2 linked regions of the Alligator mississippiensis genome follow. The protein of the gene in region 1 purifies or fractionates together with the protein of each later gene. This does not show direct contact. Links are inferred from orthologs where the notes say so. Each region holds a gene or a part of one and is shown in the gene's direction. Other genes may lie near its edges.

Evidence for each region.
Region 2: the proteins of CDH2 (region 1) and CTNNA1 purify together in Homo sapiens (affinity purification with mass spectrometry; 4 studies listed by BioGRID and IntAct, with this or other methods). This does not show direct contact. The link is inferred for Alligator mississippiensis from reciprocal best matches to the Homo sapiens genes CDH2 and CTNNA1.

Annotation. Positions count from the first base shown.
Region 1 is NC_081826.1:83,733,198-83,740,560, forward strand, and holds the start of CDH2 (cadherin-2), read left to right. Parts: upstream 1-4,356; 5' UTR 4,357-4,589; coding exon 4,590-4,646; intron 4,647-7,363. UniProt on the Homo sapiens protein: Calcium-dependent cell adhesion protein; preferentially mediates homotypic cell-cell adhesion by dimerization with a CDH2 chain from another cell. Cadherins may thus contribute to the sorting of heterogeneous cell types.
Region 2 is NC_081832.1:45,891,969-45,899,491, reverse strand, and holds the start of CTNNA1 (catenin alpha-1), read left to right. Parts: upstream 1-4,522; 5' UTR 4,523-4,607; intron 4,608-7,523. UniProt on the Homo sapiens protein: Associates with the cytoplasmic domain of a variety of cadherins. The association of catenins to cadherins produces a complex which is linked to the actin filament network, and which seems to be of primary importance for cadherins cell-adhesion properties.

The DNA of each region.
Region 1 (7,363 bases):
CTTGAAACCAAGCTTGCACATTCCCAGATCAATGATCCTGCACTACTCTTAGATTTGGCAACATTGATTTCTCTTTTTTCCCCTTCTGCTGGGTAGCTGACTTGAGATGCACCAGCATGCTCTGCTTTTCAGCTAAGAGGTCGCAATGTTGCCAGAATGAGATACTGGTATAAGAACAGACAATAGTCCTTTCCTAATATCTAATACTCTGTCTAACATGAAGATGTGAACCGTAACGAGGAGTTGCAAACACAGGCTGGAGAGTACAAAAGTCTCCCAAGCAGCTTTCTCCCACCCTAACCAGATTAATATATTCTGTCCCTGTTTTGTTTTTAAATAATAAATCTGAGTTGGGCATGCTACTGATTTGCTGCACTTTCAGCCCCCACTACTCCCCCCCCCCATCTTCTTATAAATAGAAGAGAAATGTGTGCACCTTGTGTGTTTGGGGGGGTGGGAGTGAGGAGAGACAAAGTATGGATATACAGTTCACAAGGACAGCTGAGAGGTGCCAAGGAGCTCTGGAGAGTACCTGACTCCTTTAATAGATTAGAAAACTCTACCTAGTCAAGATTACTAAATTCCCAACCTTCTTTCTCTTCCCCCTGCTGCATTTTTTTTTCCCCACAGGAGACAATGCTTGGACCCTTAATTAGTTGTTTTCAGTTGGGCAACAATCGTTAGTTTACATTCTGAAAAAACCAACCAAATCAAAAAAGAGATATATAAAGGGTCACTTTTTATAGCTGTGAAAAAACAGTAGTATTAACACTTACATTTGAATTAGACTGAACTCTGAAATTCTTGCAAATATCTCACAACTTTGTGCTGTTTTGATTTCTTCCTCAATGGATGCTGTAATATCCATCTTCTTCCTCTTTGGCCATATTCTATTTCATGGTTTTATTATTTGTATTATAGGATAACCCACAGTGCCATAGCAAGGGGGGGCAAGTGGGGCAACCGCCCCGGGTGCTGAAGTGAAGGGGTGCCAACAGCTGCTGCCCAGCTGGGGTGGGGCACAGGATTGAGCCATGAGCAGCTTATTTAGGAGGGGGGGGGGCAGCTCCCCGGCAAGCATGCGGTGGGGGAGCGGTGAGTGGCCCCCTAGCTCTATGCGCAGGGCGAGGGTGGGCTGCTGGTGCAGGCTTTGTCCTGGGCACTAAACTTTGCCACAGTACTCATAACCCATGTAAACTTAATTAGTTACCACAGCTGTCTGGCCTACTCTAATCTCAGTGAAGACCTACTGCTAAAATCTTTGTTTAATGCTAAAGTTCCATAAGAGGGTTATATGCCTTCCTAGAAAGGGCAGGTGAAGAACTAGGGAAATCTACTTTTAGTTAGGTAAACGCAAGTCATTTCTTGTAACCAATGAAGCAACAGTAAGACTTAGTCAACAAAAGCACACTAGATACTATGTTCATGGTTTTTTATTTGTATAGGTTTTTTTTACTAAAAATGGAAAGTGGCCTTATTTCTGCATACATTTATAAACATGGGTAATATGAGTGCAAGTACTTTTGTTGAATTTAGAACTATATTATTGGTTAAAGTAGTTTTGTGAATTTGCAGGATTGGACCCAAAACGGACAGCAAGAGGTTCAATTTACATAAATGTGAAACAAGGACAGTAATAGTAGTAAGAGGGCGGTGAGGGGAAGGAGGGGTGCCTTGCAAGTGGAATGTAATGATATCGTCATCCACGAAAAGCAGTTTTCAAAATTCCTGCAGCAAAATCAATCCAAAATCAAAACGATCACTTGGCTTAAACATTTATGAATTCCAGGGATAAAAGTCAACTTGGACATGTTTTTAATGGAATCCAAAGAGGCTGACTCCTTTAGAGGCAGGAAAATCATCAAAACTCTCTCCAAACTTCAGTCACGTAATCTTAACAGGGATTTTACTGAAGCCCGTGAGTTTTCTTAGCTACAACATATTTCTATTTCCATTTACAGGTACAGGAGAACCTTTTGAACTCTTGGTCAACCAGTTTGGTCTAGGCCAGATATTGCCACTGTGTTCTAGCTCTTGCATGTTCTACATGAAAAGGGTCAGTGGTCTTTCTCCAGGTCCTATATCCATTTAACAAAAAAACAGGATGAAAAAATTCACTAGTACTTATTTCAGTTTTAACAAGACCAGTTGTGTTGTAGTAGCTCTTTTCTTGATAGAGGTGTCTACTCTAGATTATTGCTGAGGTAGATAGAGTGATTCAGGAAAACTTACTCTACTGTTACCAATTCTGTCATGAAACAAGAAGATCAACTCTTTCAGGATTGGATATACGACAATACAAGACTGGAGAGACTATTTTATGTTACTGAGTCTTGCCCTGCACTACTGCAGGTAACCATGTTCTATAATTTTATATGTATCTTTAGGTAGTACCTTTCTTATGCATAATATTAATTTTCTAAAATAGCAAGAATAAAAGGTGAGTATGAGCAGTTATAGATGGTTGGTTTGGAAAAACGTGTTTGCATTGCCCTGCGTGCCTCCTAATGGTAGTTTTACACTGGGGGGAAAAAGAGCCACAATCTGTTCTTGGTTAAAATCATGATGTAAATTTGACAGTAGCTTGTTGAAGACTAAAAGATTCAGTAGGAAGGTGTTGGGAAAGCAATTTTTATGTTAGTGTTACTATTTCTGTTAAGTAATTTAATGGAAGCAGCAGCACCATGAAAACTGTCAGCCAGAGCTTAGATCTGGTAACCTTCCAGACAAGCTTTATAGCCTCTCTCTTCCAGACCTGAGGGGGAATGGACTGGCTGAGGGGCTGAGCCTAATTAGCTGCTGGGTAATAACTTGCATTGGACATTAACACACACACACACACACACACACGGTATTTATGCATCTAGATTTCTTGGTATAGTCTGTCTTGCATTTTATAAAGCACATAAAGCTTTGGATGAATGAAAGCAGACGGTTTCAGCATAATAAAAGAATTAAACACTTAACAATCATATCTACTTACAAGGCAAATATCTCTTGGCACTTGAAGGTTTAGGTTTATCCCGGCTGCATTCTTTAAAATGCAACAACTTAACACAGGGGTTGGGGTGAAAACTGGATGAAGAGCATGTGAATTCAAGTGAAAATTAAAGGAGGCTTATCCTCCCCCCCCTGCTGCAGCAGTGCAGTTGTAGCTTAGTGCCCAGAAATTCATTACCACTGCCCCCTTCACTCATAGTTCCCCCAACTGTGCTCATAGCTGCTGGCACAAATATGGAGCGAGGGCCAGCAGCAACCTTTTCAGCTGTACAGTTTTGCAACCCATGGGGGTGGTTCTTCTTTCGTGAAGAAAAGACGCTTTAAGGCTCCCCTGGGCTTGTGGCGCGGGAGGGGGGGATAACTCCCTTTTCGCCAAACAACCGAGCACCCTTCTTGCAAAGGCGCAGCGGCAGAGCCTGGCCGAGCGGCCACAGCCCTCGGCACCAGGGGGGCGCCCTGGGGTCCCGTGCAAAGGCTGCAGGGAGCGGCCGAGGGAGGAGCGGGGAGCAGCAGCAGCCACCTGGTCGCGGCCGCCCGTGCAATCAGCGCTGCACGAAGTAGATGGCTTTCTCCCCTCCCTTCGCAGCCCCGGAGCCCCCCCCCCCCGCTCGGCATCCAGCATGCTCGCTTCTCAACCAGCAACAACAACAGCAACAACAAAAAACCCAGCCGGAGCCTGGCGCGTTTTCTTTTCTCCCCCCCTTTTGCAAATTCAAGTGTAAAAGGAGACGTTGACAAAAATCAACAATGCACCATTTTGAATCGGCAAACGCCGGAGCCTGCGTGCGGGGGGGGGGGGGGGAAGAGGATGTCCACGCGCGTCCCTTCCCGCTGTCCCGGGCTGGGCGCTGCGGGCGGGCGGACAACTTCGCTCCGCAACCTGCGTGCGGGGGGACACGGAGACCCTCCTCGCCAATCTTGCAAATGCCGCCTCATCCCCCAGCTCCTCGGCCTCCGCCATCGTGTGGAGCAGCAGCGGAGCCCCCCCGCAACGGCAATGGCGAGGCCCGGCTCCCTCCCCGCAGGTGGCTCCATGCACGATGCACCAGCGCGGGGCTCCGGTTGCAATGCCCGCGGTTGTGGCGGGGTTTGTCGCCCTGCACCCCGCCCAGCTCCCCCCGGGCTGCAGCACCATGCCAGGCGCCCGCGGGTGGGCTGCTGTGTGTCCGGGCCGGGCAGCCCCGCCATTGGCCGCGCGGCAGGAGGGAGGGGCGGGGGAGGGGCGGCGCAGCGCAGAGCCGAGCACGCACATTCACACACACACGCAGGCAGGGACTGCTCGGCATTGTTGTCCCCGCGCTCCGTGCAAGGCGGGGAGGCGGCGGAGGGAGAAAGGAGGAGGTGGAGGCGGGGGCGGAGGAGGAGGACGAGGAGGAGGCACCGGCTGCCAGCATGCAGCAGGGCTGGGGGCGCCGCGCCGGCACCTGGGCGGCTCCTTGCTGAGAGGAGCTGCCTGTCCCCGCGCATCCCGGCGCCGGCTTCGCCTTTTATCCGCGGAGAGCCTAGCCCAGCCCGATCCCGATCCGGCCGCGGGACCCGGGGGGCTTCCGCCGAGCGCAGCCCGGGACTCTCGCCGCCCTCTCGCCTCCATGTGCCGGCTCCTGCCGCCGCCGCTGCTGCTGCTGCTGCTCGCGGCCCTGCAGCAGGTAGGCACGGGGACGGGGACGGGGGCTGCGGCTCTTTGTTCCCCGGCTCGCGGCAGGGGGAGCAGGTGCACGGGCAGCTCGTGTCCCGCCGCGGCGGGCGCAGGGCAGGGCTGCGGAGTTGAGCGCTTGGTGCCCCCCTAAAGGGAATGCTGCGTGGGGCGGGGGAGGACGGGTGGGCAGCTCCCCGTGGGGGTCCCTGCTCGGGCTGGGGCAGGCGGCGAGCCTGGCCTCCCCGGGCTCCTTCAGGGCTGGTGCGGCAGCGGCAGAAGCAGAGTCACTGTCCATGGTGCAGAGCCTGGCTCCCCTCCCTGCCTGTGCCTTTCGCTGCCCACCCCTGCCTCCGACGTCCCCTCTCTCCCTCTGCCCACTCCCCAGGCAATTGTGTGTCCCCTCCCCGCCAGGGTTTGCTGGCGGCAGCGGGCAAATGAGGTGCTGAAACATTGATCCCTCACAGCTGGGGGATTTCTTTCTGGCTTAAGAGGAGCTGGGCTCGTCTGCTCCGTGCGACTGGGCACCAGTGCTGCTCCTCTGGCAAACCTGCCGCCCTCTGTGGAAACTTGTTTTCCTGGGTCACTTCAAAAGGCCAGGTTGTTTCTTGGGCTGGTGGGCAAGGGTTGTAGCAGGGGGGATTTTCTTATGCTCTTAACTTGGCCCATCCCCACCTGCCGTTTCTTTAGGCGAGTCTTTGTGTGGCACTGGAGCGGACCTGCCTCCCTTTCTGCTTCTGCACCTGCCAGCTTTAAAGCGGGGGTCTGTGTTATTCCACCATCTCTTTGCCCAGGGCTGGCTTTAAATGAAAGCCCAAACTATATATGAATGAAGGACAGGAACTAGCTTTAATGCTTTTTTGTGTAGCCATCCTTGTTAGTGGCATATTCTGATTGGGGAATCCAATTTCTCCCTTGTTTGAAGATCAGTTGAATCAGGTTAGGATGCAGTTTTGCTAGTGTCACAAAATTGGAGCTTTAGTATGAAATCAGTTTGATAAACCTGTGCCTGTATGCCACCTTTTCATTTTTAATGGTGCTGTCCTTGTCATGTGCAGTGCTAACAAAACCTTACAAGTTAGATGCATTATTAACTTTTTTTTTCCATTATTGGACTTGGTGCTCTTGGTTAAGAGGAGTTAATTTCTAAGAGAGAAGTCTGAAATGCTTAAGACTTGCATTTATTCTTAACTTGCTTATTTTGCCATTTCAAACCCTTGTCACAAAGATGACACGCATTATTTCTGCAAGTTATTGATGACTTCTTCATTGGCGGGGTAGTGAAGCAGTTGTGATTGACTTGCTCAAAAAATAATCAGAACTGAATAGGTGTTGGTCCTCTTAGAGGTTTGGTTTATGATCGGAAAAGTGGGATTTGGGATAGAGTTTAAACTTGTTTTTTCAGCCTTTGAGATTAGAAACTGGCCCTTTGTCTTTCCTGATTAATTGTTCTGTAAGCTCTGTCAGTGGGTCTGGTTGTTATGCAAAAGCCTCACAGGAGACAAAAAAAGAATGAGGATAAAAGGGAGGCGGGCACACCCTTGCTTTACTGTCAGAAACATGAATTATTATTTTTTCTGCTGAAATTGGTGATAAGCACAAGAGTAAAGTAGAAATCGAGAAATTTAAGAAATAACCAAGTGCACAGTATTCAAGCAATAAAGCGAGAGCCGTGCTGTTGACAAGAGTGAAGCTGGTGTTCAGATGTTCATGGGGAGAAATATAGCAATTTTATGCTCAGGAAACAGTAGTTTTTGATATGTTAAAGCTTATTATGACTGTGGCAATGACATGTGAACATCACGGTGATAGACATGGTAGAAATGGGGAGATAAGTAATAATGGGCTATAGTTCCTCTAAGGTCCAGGTCACTGGTTTGAATTCAGCTTTAGATGACAGAATGAAAGTTATTACTGCCTGAAGACTCTGTTGGTCTTGTTCCTAGTAAATTTATTCTTGAAAAATGGCTACAATAAGTGGCATCACTATTAGCTGCCTCAGTAAAGAACCCAGCGATTGAATTCCTTTTGAATGGCTCTACCCTGCTACGCCTACTTGTGGATTCTGTAGGTCAGTATTAACCAGGCACATGGATGAGGTGGTGTTAAGTATACCCCAGCTTTTGGGTTTTTTGTTGTGAAGGTCTTCAGGCACCAGTACTTTGGTGTTACGGTACAGATAAAAAGTGCTGCATTGAAAATAAATTGAGGATATGGTGAATGTGATTGTGTAATCAAAGAAATCAGTTTTGAGGATTCAAGGGCAGGTGTAACTTCAGTAATCACTATTCTTTTTTTATTATTATTATTTGAGCTGGTGGTAAGTGAATTAAATGGACTTGGTGGAACATAAGCTCAGAAACAGAATATGTAGGTGGACTTCCAATATTCTTAGACTGGCTGATTATTTAGTAACATATACATTTTAAACGTTATGTAGAAAACTGTTTGCCTGCTAGGAGCTCATTTAAAGATTTTATTTTCTTCTGCAGCAGTTAGTGATGCTTCTAAAACCTATAATGCAACCTATACTTGTTTAGTCTAGGTGACAGTGACATCATCAATACAACCTCAACTCTGGTTTTGTAGATAAAAAAGAAAATTTTTCTTTTTGACACATTGCTCTTAAATGGCAAGTTTGCAGAAAAAAAATAAAGGCATGTTTTTGCATAATAACTTAGGATTTTAAAAACTTTTTGTGTGTAGTTCTAGAAAACTATTATGTTAGTT
Region 2 (7,523 bases), on another chromosome or scaffold:
TGCTAGTGCCCCGCACTCCCGACCCAGAGTCCTCTGCACGCTCTGGTGCCCTTCACTTCCAAGCCACAGCCCCCCCCCCAGCCCTGCCAGTGCCCCTCACTCCCAACCCACAGCCCCCTGCTTCCCCCCAGCCCTGCAGCATCTATTGGTCGCCCCACCCCTGAGAGCAAGGGCACCAGCCTGGCCATGCAGCTCCCTGCTGCCCCTGAAGGGCTCTCCTGCTCCCTTCCCCCACTGGAGGGCAGATGCTTTCTCCCTGCCGCCTGTGCCCTGCTGCAGCACCAGCACCTAGACCCCTTCCCCTAGTGCTGGCAGGCAACCCCCCCCCCCCCCCCCCCACACACACACATTCATCTCCTCCACACACCACTGACACACACCCCTGAACAGTCCTCAAGCCCTGGCCCTTCAACCCCCGCCCCCCATAGACTTACCTGCAACCAGCTGCCAGGGCTGCTCTCAGCACCCTGCCAGGCTGCATGCCAGCCACGTGTGTGTGCACGCACACATGCACACGGTGGCCCTCTGCCTCCAATGGCTCTTCCCTTGCTCCGCCCAGCCCCACCCAGCTCCTGGCTAGGGGAAGCTGGGTAGTGCTGAGAGAAATATTGATGCTGAGCAGATCAAAATCCTGGACATTTGATCATATTTTTAAAAACTGCCTGGACAGAGATCAGAGGATCCAAAAAGAGGACAGGTGCAGGAAAACCTAGACACATGGTAACCCTATGATAACAATCTTCAAATACTTGAACAGTAATTGCAGAGAAGATGGAGATAGGTTTTTCTCTTTGGCTGCTGGGGACAGGACTAGGAGCAGTGGCCTCAATCTGCAGCAGAGGAAATTTAGGTTGGGGATTAGAAGTATAACAAGGAGTCAGAGGCTCCTATTACTTGAAAGGGAAAGCATAGCAGGTTAAGCTTGCTGTGGGGAGTTAGCTGCACTGCAATCCATACCAAAGGGCAGCCCCCGGATAGAGCAGAAGTAAAGACTGCTAGCAGTTGAGCTAAGCTATAAGAGAGAAGGGCAGAAGGCCATCAAGCCAAAGCAGAAATCCCTGTGTGTGGCTGGAAAGCCACCTGACAGGAAGGGGTGGGGCTTTGGAGCACATAAGATCAATGCTTGAGCTGAAGCTGAAAGTCTAACCCTGTAGGCTGCTAGGAAAGGAGTTCTGGGAAAACAAGTTAGCAAGCACCCAAGACGCCTAGTAAAGCTAGAAGGAAAAAACTAATGGAAGAAGCATGGTTTGTAGTGTGGCACTTGCCCAGAGTAAGGCGGAACTTTAATTTGGAAGTGATTTGCTTTATATTTGTGTTACATTTTAAGTTTGATAGTGGAGGACTAGATCATAGCTTTTGGGGTGGTATGGAGGCCACAGGGGCACCTGAGAGGCACCCTGTATAGAACCCCACAAGGGTCATGGACCCCAGGGGGGATGAGCAGGGTGAGACTGCAGCCAGATGTCTGGAGCCTGAGAAGAGCGAGACTGGAGCCAGGAGCTGAGCTGAAGTCTGAGGCAGCGGACCTAGACTAAAGGAGCACAGCCAGAAGAAAAGGGGCTGAAGCTGGTAAGATTGAAGCCCCAACAGAGGCTTGAGGCCTGATAGGGCCAAGTGCTGCATTGGGACCAGGGGGCCCCTCCAAAGTAATACCAAATACTACCTGTGAAGCATAGGTGTGGATGGAGGCCATGTATACCACCCATAAGGCAACTGGTGCCCTGAGGCACTAACAGGGCCATGAGGGCCACAACTGAGTGCCCAAAGGCAAAACTAAAGTGAACTGAGGGCTGGCTCTGGGACCCTGGGGCAGCCTCCCTAAACTCCATAAGAATTCTATCAAGGCATGGCTAGCAAGGAAAAAAGGGTGGGGGCACCCCAAGGTGCTGGAGTGGGAAAGAGGCAGCCAGACTTGCTACAAGGAGGAACTTTATTATTATAAGGGTGGTCAAGCATTGGAAGGGTCTACTTAGAGAAGTTATGGAATCCCCATCCTTGAAAATGCCATTCTTGGAAATGCTCAAAAGCAGTTTTGACAGACACTTGGCTGGGAAGGTTTAGTAAGGGATGATCCTGTCTCTAGAAGGGAGCTGGACTAGATCATAGAAAACTAGGGCTGAAAAGGACCTCAGGAGGTCATGTAGTCCATCTCCCTGCTCAAAGCAGGACCAGCCCCCATTATCATCCCAGCCAAGGCCTTGTCTATCCAAGTCTTACAAACCTCTGAGGATGGAGGTTTTGCAACCTCTCTGGGTAACCTGGGCAACCCTCCTACTGAGAGGTTTTTTCTCATATCTAACCTAAACTTCCCTTGTTGCAACTTGAGACTGTTGCTTCTTGTTCTGTTATCTGCCACCACTGAAAATAGTCTAGCTCCATCCTCTTTGGAAACCCCCTTCAGGTAGTTGAAGGCTGCTATTAAATTCTACCCCCTCAATCTTTTCTTCTTCAGACTAAATAAGCCCAGTTCCCTCAGCCTTTCCTCATAAATCATGTCCCCCTGCCCCCGAATCATTTTTGTTGTCCTCTGGACTCTCTAATTTGTCCATATCCTTTCTGGAGGGGTGGGGGCCAAACTGGACACAGTACTGAATAGAGGGGAATAATTGCTTCCCCTGAGCTACTGGCATGAATGACTGGTGCCTCCCATAACTGGGGGGGGGGCCTCCATGGTGGTGAGCAGGGACCACCTGCAGCTGCCGCTGGCAGTGTCGGGGGCAGGGTGGCAAGCAGCGACCACCCATAGCTGCTGCATCGGCAGTGGAGGGCAGTGACCATCTGCAGAAGCCAGTGGAGGCTTTGGCAGTGGCCAATCTCAGGGGGGCATGTAGCTCCCTGTGCCCCGCTATGCATTGCCTATGCCTACAGACAACACACCTACCAATGCAGCCTAGGATGCCATTAATCTTCTTGGCAACAAGGGCACACTGTTGGCTCATCTTCAGCTTACTGTCCACTGTAACCCCCAGGTCCTTCTCTGCAGAGCTGCTGCCCAGCCAGTGAGCCCCCAGCCTGTACCAGGGCATGGGTTTGTTCTGTCCTAAGTGCAGGACTTTGTACTTGTCCTTCTTGAACGTCATGAGATTCCTTTTGGTCCAGGATGACCTTGTGAGGTCCTTTCTAGCTCTGCTTTTCTGTGAAACCTGCACTAGAACAGAAAGACACAACTTTTGTTACACAATGTAAAATGCACAGACCAGCCTCATATCAGACTTCATAAACCTTTCAAGTGTCGGTCCAGGGTTGTCAAAAGATTAACTAAAGCCCCTAGCAAACATTCAATTAAAGGTGTCATGGGAGCTGATGCACGATCCCAATAACTGTGCTTCTTTCTGGCCATGCTGTATGTATGTGGCAGGGGCCATGATTGTGGGATCAGATCCCCATTGCGCCATATTGCTGGTTCAAGGGTGGCATGGGATCATGATCCTGGCAAGTAAGAGGCCAGTCAGCTCATCCCTGCTCCCAGCCCCTGGAGCGCGCTGGAGTCCGGGGCTCCTGTGCACCCTGCGGCTGGGAGTGGCAGCTGATCTGCCCTGGTTCCCTGCCTCAGGGACACGTTGCCCTTAGCTGCGATGTGTCTGAGCTGGGCGTGGCAGGCAGCTGAGCAGCACTCCCGGCCTCCTGAGCGCACAGGAGTTGAGGGCTTCCAAGGCTTTTTTTTTTTTTTTTTTAAGAAATTTGTTGTGTTCCAGCCAAATCAAGTCCAAATCCATGAGTTGGTCCAGAACCATAAGTGGCCCTGCGACTAGCAAACATCCTCCACCCCCATCTGGGGCTTCAGATATTTCCAGAGTTGTTTGGCAGGCATCCTATGTGCAGGCCCAAGCCTGGAGGCACGGGGTTAGGATGTCCCCAAATTTTGCCTGCCCTCAGCCATGCATCTGCAGGAGCAAGCTAGGGAGGAGCCTCCCATTTCCATAAACTGGTCTTTAAGCCCCAGCACCTCGGAGGGTACTAAACCACACCACAACAAGTTATCCCCCCGAGCGCTTGGGGGAAACTGCCTTCACCGACCTGACCCAGGTGTTTCCCCCGCCAGGTAAGCAGGCCTGCTGAGGAGGGCCATTGAGCTGGGCCACATGGGCGGTTTAGGGCCCAACGGGAACCAGCCACAAGGTGAACAGGACAACTGAGCTGGGGTGGTAAGGTTGCGGTTCACTCTGTGGTGCCACTGACACGGGCCCGGTTACTGCAGGACTCGAGTCCCGGGTAGCCGGCTCGCTGTTGTCAGCGCCGTCTGCCCAGAGCCACCGCTTCGCAGGAGCAGAGGAGCCCCGCGCCGGCCGGTCCCGTCCAGTCCAGTCCCGTCCAGTCCCGCCTGCCGAGAAGCGTCGGGGCGCGAGCTGGAGTCCGAGCCCGCCGCCGCCGGGACCTGCGGGACGGGACCCGCCCCGCCCCGCCCTCACCTGTGCGGGGGGCGGTGCGGGGAAGAGCCAGGGGCCGGCGGGGCGGTGCTGGGAACAGCCGGCCGGGCCGCGGGGGGAGGTGCCCGGAAGAGCCCGCTTCCTCCCCTCTGGCTTGGGACGGGCGCGGCGGGCGGACAAAGCGGCGCCGGGACAGACGCACGGACGGACAGCGCGGACCGCGCACCGCACCGACCGCAGGTAACTCCCGGCCCGGCCCGGTTCCGCCTCTTAGAAACTTTTCCTGCTGCCGCCCCCGCCCCGTGCGCCCCCTCCTCGGCAGGTCCCCTCCGCTGGGCCGGGCCGGGCCGGGGCCGGGGCGCTCGGGACCCGCTCCCAAAGTTTGCAAAGTGCCGAGCGGGCGCGGCGGGAGACCCGGGGGGCCCGGCTGTCCCGGGCAGGCGGGCGGGGCCGGCGCCGCCGGACGCGGAGAACAATGGCCGCGCCCGCTGCTGCCCTGTGGCTGCCGAGGCCCCGGGCCGGGCCAAGGGGGTGCGGGCGTTGCTTGGGTCGGCCGCGAGAGGGGCCGGGCGGCCCCCCCCCCCCCCGCAAGCGGCGGGAGGCGCGGGGGTGGGGCGGCGCTGACGTCACTGCCGTTCCCCGCGGCGATGCCCCCCCACCCCACCCCACCCCACCCCACCCCCCCCGCCCGGGCGGCCCCTTCCCCGCCCCCCCCCCGCGCGGACTGTGACGCGTCCTCCGGCTCCCTGCGCGACTGCACGGACTTCGGAGCCGCCCTTCCCCAGCCCCTCCCCCGAGGGGTGTTTCCCCCATAATCAGCGTGAGGAAGAAAGCCCCTTGCATGCAAGGAAACCTCCTCACCTACATTGTCGGCAGCTTTTTGGGCAGTGCTAAAAAGGCCTGAGCCCGGGACTTGTAAGGTGTGGCAGGGGCCCGATCCTTGTCGTGACAGCGGGGCCACGGCCCCTTCTCTGCCTTCCACCTTGCGGGGCGGGGGGTGCCAGGGAAAATGCCTTCACATGCCATGCTCTGGCACCGGTGCTGGGGATTGCCATCTTGAACTATCATGTGCTCAGCACTTTGCTCCCGCAGCTGAGCTGTGCCTTTCTTTACTGTTTCCAATGATTCCTGTTTCTTCACTAGCCTCAAATGTCTGGCAAATGCCACCAAACTGGGAAGGAGCAAACAGGTCACGCAGGATCCCTCTGTTACGCCCCCTCTTTCCCCAGCACCATTTTTAAGTGCTAGGACATTGATCCCCTGATTGAACAGCCTGCAGCTCTGTCCCGCTCCCCGCCCCAGCTCCAGGGTCCCATTCACTGCCCTGGTTGGGCAGCGCCCCCTGCCCCACTCTCTCCCTCCCTGTGGGGGCCTCGATCTGCCCCTGCCCTTCCCCTCCACAAACTTACCTGCACAGAGCTGCTCTCCAGGCTGCCCGGCTGTGCTCCTGTAAATGGGTTATTGGATCAGTATTGGCTGATATGCCTGATGAATAATCAGCTATGGGTATCGGCCAAGAAAATCTTTATTGGTGCACCCCTTCCTTCCATAAGAAAGGAATTTGAGAAATTAAGCAGGAGTAATTACACTGGGTATAATTTCAATTCAGGTTAAAATTCTACCTAAATAAATTTTCAATTTGTAGACTCTGGCAATGTTTGGGTTTTTTTGTTTGTTTGTTTGTTTTTATAAAAAGCAATTTCGCCATAAGCTTCAAGGGAAGCATTTCAGTAACTGAATCAGGCAAAAAAAATGTCTAAATTATCATTTCCTTCACTTAATTTTATCAGACCTGTGAAATGTTTATGAATTCATTGTCATTTACAGATATCAAACAGCATCTCAAAGTTCATAGAAGGGAAACTAAATAGTTCATAATGAGCCTGTTTATTCTGCGTACTTCAAAAGTTTAACACTGACCATAAAAACTGCAAGACATTTTCTTAAATGTTTTAGTTAGGGAGATGAGTCCTAATTTTTAAGCCATGCTGTGTGTTTTTCCCTACCACTTTAAACCTTTGATCTCTGCTCCAGAAGTTTTGAAAAATAACTGAAAAGGTAGAACTACCATATTTACTAAAATGTAAGATAACTGGGGATAGATGAAACTCATCTCAATAATTAGTTCTTCTTGGGGAAAGGGGATGAGCAGAGGGATAGAAGAATTTGCATATGGGTTATTTTAGACTAGGCAAACACAGAGAAGTGTGAGGAAATTTAAGAAGCTTCTGATAAGTGCATGGACAGCATGATGCCAAATGCAGTTCCTTATGGATAGTTCTTTTTAAAGAACGTTGGAGAGAGATTTTTATCTATTTGTGCACCATAGAGCTTGACTTGTTTAGGCTCATTGCCCTCTAAAACTTTAAACTTTAGTGGCAACCCAATTTAAAAAAATACAAATGGATTACAAATATTGTAATTATTAAAATAAGTGTAATGATAACTGTTAATAGAGTCTTAATTTATTAGATCATTATTCACTCCACTGCTGCTGCAGCCATGTGGAACTGTGCTGTATGCCCTCTGCAGAGCCAGATTGGGAAGCAGCTATGGCAGGAACTTGTGGTCTTGCTGCAGCTCTTCCGAGTCTGACCCTGCATGGTGTCTCCTGGAAACAGATGTGTGGGGCAAGTGAAACTGTCTGCCTTTATTATGTAACACAGACAGTGTGTCTTTCTGCTGCAGCTACTTCTCAGTTTAGCTCTGAGATGCCTCCTAGACAACAGGTGCATGGGGCAATTTCATCCCAAGTCACTGTCAGTGTTGTAGTACCCGTGGGAGGTTCTTGCAGCATCCTATAGTGCCACAATACCCCAGTTGAGGAACACTGTTATAATATGTATTATAATATAAACATATATTATTAGCATAATATTTACCCTTTCTGGCCATTGTTGGGGGCACGCTTCTGGCTCTGCACATCCCCAAATGTTTGCTTCCAGTGTAGCACCTGGACTTCCTATGTGTAGTTTCAGGTCATTGCTGGGATCTAGAACTGTCATGCCAGTTTCAGCCCTGAGTTATACCTTTGAACTCCAGACCTGGAGCTGTAATGGACAGAGCCTGGGGGCACCAGAGGGCAGGACCTAGGCTGCAGGTCCACCTGGCTGGCATAGGAGAGGTGCTGGGTTGTACATGCAGCTGAACATGCAG